2 linked regions of the Styela clava genome follow. The protein of the gene in region 1 purifies or fractionates together with the protein of each later gene. This does not show direct contact. Links are inferred from orthologs where the notes say so. Each region holds a gene or a part of one and is shown on either strand. Other genes may lie near its edges. The genes, in order: tRNA (adenine(58)-N(1))-methyltransferase non-catalytic subunit TRM6-like and tRNA (adenine(58)-N(1))-methyltransferase catalytic subunit TRMT61A-like.

The links.
Region 2: the proteins of tRNA (adenine(58)-N(1))-methyltransferase non-catalytic subunit TRM6-like (region 1) and tRNA (adenine(58)-N(1))-methyltransferase catalytic subunit TRMT61A-like purify together in Homo sapiens (affinity purification with mass spectrometry; 4 studies listed by BioGRID and IntAct, counting the BioPlex papers as one, with this or other methods). This does not show direct contact. The link is inferred for Styela clava from reciprocal best matches to the Homo sapiens genes TRMT6 and TRMT61A.

Annotation. Positions count from the first base shown.
Region 1 is NC_135258.1:11,834,449-11,838,380, forward strand, and holds the start of tRNA (adenine(58)-N(1))-methyltransferase non-catalytic subunit TRM6-like, read left to right. Parts: upstream 1-1,185; 5' UTR 1,186-1,626; coding exon 1,627-1,780; intron 1,781-2,289; coding exon 2,290-2,404; intron 2,405-2,689; coding exon 2,690-2,893; intron 2,894-2,963; coding exon 2,964-3,151; intron 3,152-3,655; coding exon 3,656-3,932. Other genes in the region: uncharacterized protein KIAA2013 homolog, read right to left, coding at 1-70, 565-791. UniProt on the Homo sapiens protein: Substrate-binding subunit of tRNA (adenine-N(1)-)-methyltransferase, which catalyzes the formation of N(1)-methyladenine at position 58 (m1A58) in initiator methionyl-tRNA.
Region 2 is NC_135255.1:18,094,247-18,098,178, reverse strand, and holds the start of tRNA (adenine(58)-N(1))-methyltransferase catalytic subunit TRMT61A-like, read left to right. Parts: upstream 1-1,073; 5' UTR 1,074-1,108; coding exon 1,109-1,291; intron 1,292-2,572; coding exon 2,573-2,714; intron 2,715-3,932. UniProt on the Homo sapiens protein: Catalytic subunit of tRNA (adenine-N(1)-)-methyltransferase, which catalyzes the formation of N(1)-methyladenine at position 58 (m1A58) in initiator methionyl-tRNA.

The sequences.
Region 1 (3,932 bases):
TTCGTCTTGGTTATGATCATTGATGTATGCATCAAGTTCACCGATTGCTATATCATGTTGCTTTAGATGCCTAAAGTTGAAAATGAAATGTCGGTAATAGTGATACCAAAACTCGAATTTAACGGCAGATTGTGCTTGATAGTGTTTTTGAGAGAATCCGCTTAAATCAGAGCCTCATGCATTAAAAGAGTGAAGGTGACACGCATTTGATTATTTAAAAAAATGAAATTGAAATTTTAATTGGGTGACAATCATTAAGTTAACCATTTTAAAATACGAATCAGTTAAAAGAAAATTTGTATTTATATATAATTGCTTTTTTTTAATAATTTGATACATATATCAAACTTCAAAATGAGGGATTATTCCCGCCCGCAACAAAAAGTACAGCTGTTCATATTGATCCCAGTCCATATAAGAACCTATGGCTGTTTTTGTCATATATTATTGAAATTTGTTTATATATTATTGAAATAGGTGATCAGCTGATCACATCAATAAGTATTAATGAAATATTCATAATAATAATAATAATATGAGATCACTTTAACAATTCATACGCACATTGCAAGACAAGAATCCACATTCGATTGAGAGGTGAACAACGATAAGACATTTCTGTAGAAGAACGGACCCAAGTAAATGAAAAAAATACAAGCTGTAATCCCAAATGCAATAGTTCTTCGAGTCACCGGCAAAGATCGCAATGAAAAACTCAACGTCATCTGTGAAATATTCTGCTGAGCCATTGGAATTTGCAATTTTGCAGCACTAGGACGAATCTTAAGCATGTGACAACAAGTCCTACTATAACCCTAAAATCTTCAAAAATAGGTTTAAAATTTATATCTTATTTTGTTGTTCTGAGTCAGTTCAACAGACAGCCTTGTCAAAAACGTAGAATGCAATAGAGCAATGAGACTATTTACAGATTTACAAAATTATATTTGCAGCAGATCTACATGAGATATAAAATGGTTGACACATAGCTGAAAAATGACGAGCTTCTGAATGATTAGTTTTTTCTAAAGGTTCTACAAATCGGACAAATTGGATTATTCAATACGCAAATAACAAATAAAATAACACTGGATAAAGACATAATATGTCCATATTATATTATGTACAAAGTAGACAAACACAATCTGAACACTAGCCTGTTACACTCCACTGGCCAATTCGAAGCTTTTATTCAAGCATAGCACCTGTTCCGAAATGACATAAAACAGACTGCACTTTCTTTTCCTTCCCATAAACAAATTTCAAAACTCAACATTAAAAATTGCTGTTGTAATCCAAAACTAAAAACTTATCCTTTTTGACAATCGTAGAACTAACGCACAACTAAAGTCTTGTGTTGATTATTATATTATGGGAGTATGGAAGGCGCTGCAAATCACTTATATTTGTCTTGACTCTGGGTATTCAGCAGCACAGCCATATCATAAGTCAGTAAGTCGCGTCACATCATAAGATCACAACATTGCAACGTTTACCAGGCGAGTTCCCGTCCATTACGTCACAGCTAGATATCATCGAAACGATTCAAAGCACATGTTGCACATCACATTGTAATAAGTGCGCTTTCCTGCTGCGCTGCTATTTTGTCTGTCTATAGTTTTAGATATGGATGTTATCGCTGAAAATGTTTCTGTGGTTTTACAAAGAGGAAAAGTGTTGAAAGCGATTAAACTAGAACGCGGCAAAAAGATTGTATTTGAAAAGCTGCATTTCAAACCAGATAACGCCATCGGACAATCATACAATTCGTGGTTTCAAGGTAAATCTTTGGATTCTATTAACACGCAGTGCTTTGTTTTTCTGGTCGGACGTGGCTTATAGTTGAATTATATCAGAATTACATGAATTAACAGTATCTGCATGATTTATTATTGTATTAGAGGGGTCAGACAGACATTTTTGTATGTCAATATGTTTTATTAAACATTTTCCCCTTCCCCATATTTTATTCTTAGCCTCCCTAAAAGGCACATGCCGTAAATCGAATAAAGATTTCAAAATAATAAACAACTATTTATGTTATCTTGCATATGGCATCTTTCTTATAATAATTATCACCACTGGCAGTGAACTATAGGGTTTTGCATAATGTTATCTGATATTATTCTAGAATCAATTCATAAAATAACAGTATAGCTATTTGTCTTGTTGGCGTAAACTTTTTTAATTCATATTATTTTATTGATCCTATAGTGGAAGATCCTTAGTGGCAACAGTGCTAAAGTATTCCATACCGAAAAATCATTATTGAGAGATGATATATTTTAGTATCTTCAAATCAACTTGAGAAGGTTGAAGATGTTATAACTCGCGGCAAACCAGAACAAGCTGCTTCAGGAGACAATGGTTCTGCGGAAAAGCCAAACTCAGCACAAGATAACAGGTCAATTTATTTTTTTTATTTACTCAATTTTTAATTTGAGAACGATGAAACCCATTTTATTGGTAAAAATTTAGAAACAAGAATACCATGCCATAATAATTTTATGGAAATTTGAACTTATCATGACATCGACCTAGTTTTGTGACTCACCAAAAGGCTCTTATGTCTTTGTAGGTTTGCTTATGATTAATCCTTAGTAATTTCTGAACCGGCTAGGATGAATCTTTGTCTATGGGGAATAATTAGGTACTCATCACCAGACATCATGTTTTATTAAATGAACAGATTGCTAGAAGACACTCACGGAAAGTCTCAGTCACTCAAACGAGAAGAGATTGTTGGCATGAAATCAAGTGGAGCAAAGGGAGAAGAAATAATAGAGGAAATTGTTAAAAACAGTGCGACTTTCTCCAGCAAGACAATTTATTCACAGAAAAAGTACTTACAAAAGAAGAAATTAAAACATTCAACAAACATTAGGATATTGAAGTGAGATTATTTACTATTTAAATTAACCGGATAATTAGGTTTAACAACCATTCGTAACTTATCATTTTAGGCCATCAGCACGACTTATCTGCAAAATGTATGAAAGCAGGGAACCAGCTAAAATTTGTCACATGAGGATTGACACTGTATCGCAAATCATTAATTTGGCAAATATACACTCAGGCTCAAAAGCTATCGTAATCGAAACATGTTCCGGTCTAATTCTGAGTCTCGTCATGCAACGCTTAGCAGGAAAAGGTAATCTTATTGCATGATTGCAGATTCTGGCAAAGCAATGATAATGTTAAAAGGTATTGATATTATTGGAGTTTCACACTCCTTCCAACACTTGTCTATCTGCATCATTGTGATTGTGAGATTTTGAGCAGGCACCATAGCTAGCAAAGTATGATTATAGTAGCTATGATTATCCCAAATGGCTAACGCCAGCTATCTGTCTTACGTCGGGAAGGAATTTGGGATTGGATTCTAAATGACATAACTTGAGTCTTTTCAGCGAAAGGGGCTAAACTGAAATCCGACTCATCTTTCTGCCAGAGACACTTGACTCCGACACCCACTCAAATTTATTCTTTTTACTGTTGTATAAAAAATCTATTATAACTCAAAAGAGCGGCACCTCGACTTAACATTCAGATGGCCCGCAATTGGACCTTAGAGGACTCGAGACTTGGGGTTTGAAGACTTGTACACAACACTGGACTTCAATGACTATCTTTTAACCATATAATACTTTTACAGGTTGTGTGGTGAATCTACATACTGGTGAAACTCCGACAAATTTTCATGCTATAACACACATGAACTATGACGACTCATATTGGGCAACATTGAATTCGCTCCCTTTGAATAAAGTTGGCCCATTGCTGGCAGGAAAAGATTTCAAAGATGTTATTGGAGATATAGATCAACTTGAAAAGGAGAAGACTGCAAGTTATAGCATCAAAGAAACAGAAAAAGATGGTAAAATGTCATCATCCATTGAAGGTAGCAAAACTTCTGATGAAGATCCTAACAA
Region 2 (3,932 bases), on another chromosome or scaffold:
TCAAACATTGGTCCACTTATTTACTCGTGGAATAACTCAACAGGGACATTATGTAAAAAAATCTCAAGATTTTGTGCTCTGCAGTGATTCTGCTATCTTCAAGCTCTCTTCGTAAGCTTCTTACCTTTACATGATATTGAAGCTTGCAGATCAAAGAGCAAGAATATTTCATTCGAACATACATACAGCACTTAATGATTTAGGTCAGGGGGTAAATTTCTAAATAGTTGGGATTGTTATTACACTCTCATTGTGGAGATGCTGCCAAGAAAAGATCGTATATTTACAAATACAAGGTGGTAAGAAACCTCCCAGGTGGGCAATGCTAGAGTAAAGGTTGAGAACCCCTTGTTATGTACTTGAACTCTAGATGGGCTGGTCTGAAAATTCTAATTCAATGTACAACACTGTTCTTAAGGTAGTAAGCTCGGGATTAGAACCCAAGATCTTAAGTCTGTGATGTCAATATAGTTGGGTGAAAGGCTTCAAGCACTAACCATTGTGCCCTTTTAAGCAGTTGGTTCACCACATGCTAAGTCTGGGCCATCTAAAGTTGTGGCTTTTGTTTATATATCCCACTCAGTGGTAGAATTCAAAATCTCCATGAGTGCTTGTACAGTAATGACCAATATAAAAGGGACTAGAAAAATTGCTTTAATGATTTGATTCCTGATGTGTAGTCATTTTCATTCTTGTGCTGGCATCCTTCCATTATACAGGGTGGCCCAAAAGTAGGTATACAGTTATTTTATTTATTTTTTATTACCTTCCAAGCAGCTAGAAAACTAATGTAAAATTCACACTAGATTTATTTTTAAAAAAATGAGCAATTTTTGTGGTACTTTACAAGTAACATAAAGTGATTTGCAGGTAGCTTCAAAGCATATAAAATAGTTCAATAACTGTTCACCTACTTTTGGGCCACCCTGTATGTATGCGAAGTGAAAAAGCGCAAGTATGTGTAGTTTCCGCCTTGTGTAACCCCCACTGATATGTAGTACTGAACCATGGTTGAATGAAATAAAAAAAAATAATCTGTCTGAAGGTAAATAAAGTATGTGTATTAAGGTTCTAACACTGATCCTAATTTACAGTTTCTAAATAAAAAATGAGTTTCAATAAATATAAAAGTCATGTGGAAGAAGGAGACACAGCTATTGTCTATACTGGCTTTGATTCTATGTTTCCTGTGACTGTAAACAGAGGCAAAACGACTCAAACGAAGTACGGAGCAATAAAACATGACTGGCTGGTTGGACATGAATTTGGTGCAAAATATCAATGTTCTAAGGTAGATTGAATATTTTTTTTAATCCACGTCATTGTAGAAATATAAGGTTCGGTGGGTTTTTATGTTTCAGCAATGTCAATGGTGTCAAGTTCTAGGAATATCTTTGCCATTGCTCTTGTGCAAAAGTTTGTTGGTTTGAATCCTGTATGGCAGGGCTACTCAACTATTTTCACCAAAGGTCCGTTTAAAAAACTTCAAAATTACTGGGGTCCGGACATTACAGAAAATTTATTTCATTGAATAAACGAGACTTCAAATGCAATATTAAATTAAATACAAGAGCAATGAATGGCTCACAAATGTTGCACATCGGTAGCTGCGTATTTAAATCGTATCAAAGTCATCTAAAACTTTATAAACGTTGCTTATATTGCCAAAATATATAAGCAGAGGCGGTCCAAATTAAATGGTCGAAAGGTCCGGATTTGGACCGCGGCCTGCCAGTTGAGTAGCCCTGCTGTATGGTATAGTTGTGTGTAAAATATTTCAAAGCTGAACTTCTTGTTGTGCTAGGGTGCTTCCTTTTTAGGGCTGATTGAATACATGCATCTGAATAACATCGGTCGTTGACTAGATATTGAGCACTGCCAAATAATCAAGCCATCTCATTGGCTTTCATCTATCCTATGTTACATATAAAACTTATTCATACTATCACACCTGGCAATTTTTTTTTAGAATCTCCTGGTGCAATGTTTTTCCGGAGTATACATTCTCCATTTTTCAAATATACCATATTTATTCCACTAGTTGGCTGACTAGAGTTTTTTGTTTAAGGAGGGTAGACACCAGTGTGAAAAAAGCCTACCAGGGCTGGCCTACTAGCTACATTTCAGTAAATTTCCAAGTAGTGGCAATTTTCTTCTAGAATATTCTGATGTGTAAGTGTTAAAAAAATACAATCCTAATCTTTTCCAGGGTTGGGTATACATTCTCCATTTTTTAAACATACCCTAATTATTTCACTAGATGGCTGAAGAGATATTTTGGCTTGAGGGGGTAGACATCAGAGTACTCCTGAAGCATGTGAACCAAGCTGGCGGACACCGAAACGTAGTATGTGTATCAGGTTAAGGTTAGGCCAGAATTTTAGGTACAAATACTATAGGAGTCACTTGGCTAGTCCCCGAACTCATAGCAGGACTAAAATTGGAATAAAATTATGGCCTAACTCTAACCTGATACACATACTGCGTACCGGCGTCTGCCATCTTGGTTCACGTACTTCAGGAATCCCGAAATCAGTGTGAAGAAACACTATAACATTGATCTTTTTTCTAGGGTTGGGTCTACATTCTCCATCCTACACCTGAGCTGTGGACGGTTAGTTTGCCACATCGCACTCAGATATTGTATGCCACTGATATTGCTATGGTTACTATGCAGTTGGATTTGAAGCCTGGATCAGTAGTTTGTGAATCAGGTGAGCCCACATAATTTTTATACATTTGTTCTTTTATAGGCACGATAGCCGTAACGATTTAGAGCAGTGGTTTCCAACCTATTCATTGCTATGGGCACGTCTGATGATGTCAGAATGTTGTGGAGCCATGACTATTACAGGGGATATGGTTTACATATTTATCCCGGGGGAGAGAAAAGCCGATAAGACGACTTAATGATATGGCGAACCCCAGCCTCTCGTCTGGTTTCCAGGTCAGGTATGGGATTAGTTAGCCAGTTATTTGTTTTCGGAAGCATGGACTTGATGGTGGAGGAAGCCGTAACCGACCAGCGGTTACGTGAACCACCCTACAGCGGCGAGGAGTCCAGCAATCCTCTCGCACATGATCATCCCCGCATGGAATTCGAACCTGCAATCCCACGAAGGGTAATCAGAGATGCGGTGACGAGCGTATTCCTTAACGCTTAGCACGATGTGCCACATCGCCGAGCTAATATGAAAAAGCTCTATTGGAAACATTTTCTTGCATGCAGAGGATCAAGCCCAATGACAAACAGTGTCAAATGTCTCGTTAATCAATGGATGGCTCAATTTTTTAATTAAATAAAATGATTATGCTTATAACCAAGAACTTGTGTCACCCTATAGACCTGACATTGACAAATCACAGCCCGTAGGCCAAATCCGGTCGTTGGGTAATTCAATCTGGCCCGCCTGATGCTGCCACAACCAAACTAAAACAAAATTTTGATGTTTTAGCTGAAAAATAGCTCAAGGAATTTGTTGATATTGCGATTAATGTTGGTCAAAGCTTTTTGCTTTCCACTTTTGCTTTTGTAACACTGTGAAAATTGTTCATAAAATGTGACTTTTACCTTACTGTTACCTGCCAGACTGGGCAAAATTTTTGGCCTTGTTATGACAGTTTATTTATTATAACCAAAATTATGGCTTTAAGAAACTAAAAACGCATCTTAACCTAAACACAAGAACATGCAACATAATTACATCAGGTCACTAAGTATAGCCAAACTTAATCGGACTACCGTCTAATACTCGTAACTAATGCAGTAAGGCAAATGCAGTCCGTTGTCGCTTGACGATAATCAGAGATCACAACACAAAGAACGATAATGTAATAATGTTTTAGGGTGAATATCTCTGATTTGAACTCCACCTAATAAATTTAAATAAGGATGTTAGAGACTGGACTTTCCAAAATCAATGGCTCCTAAA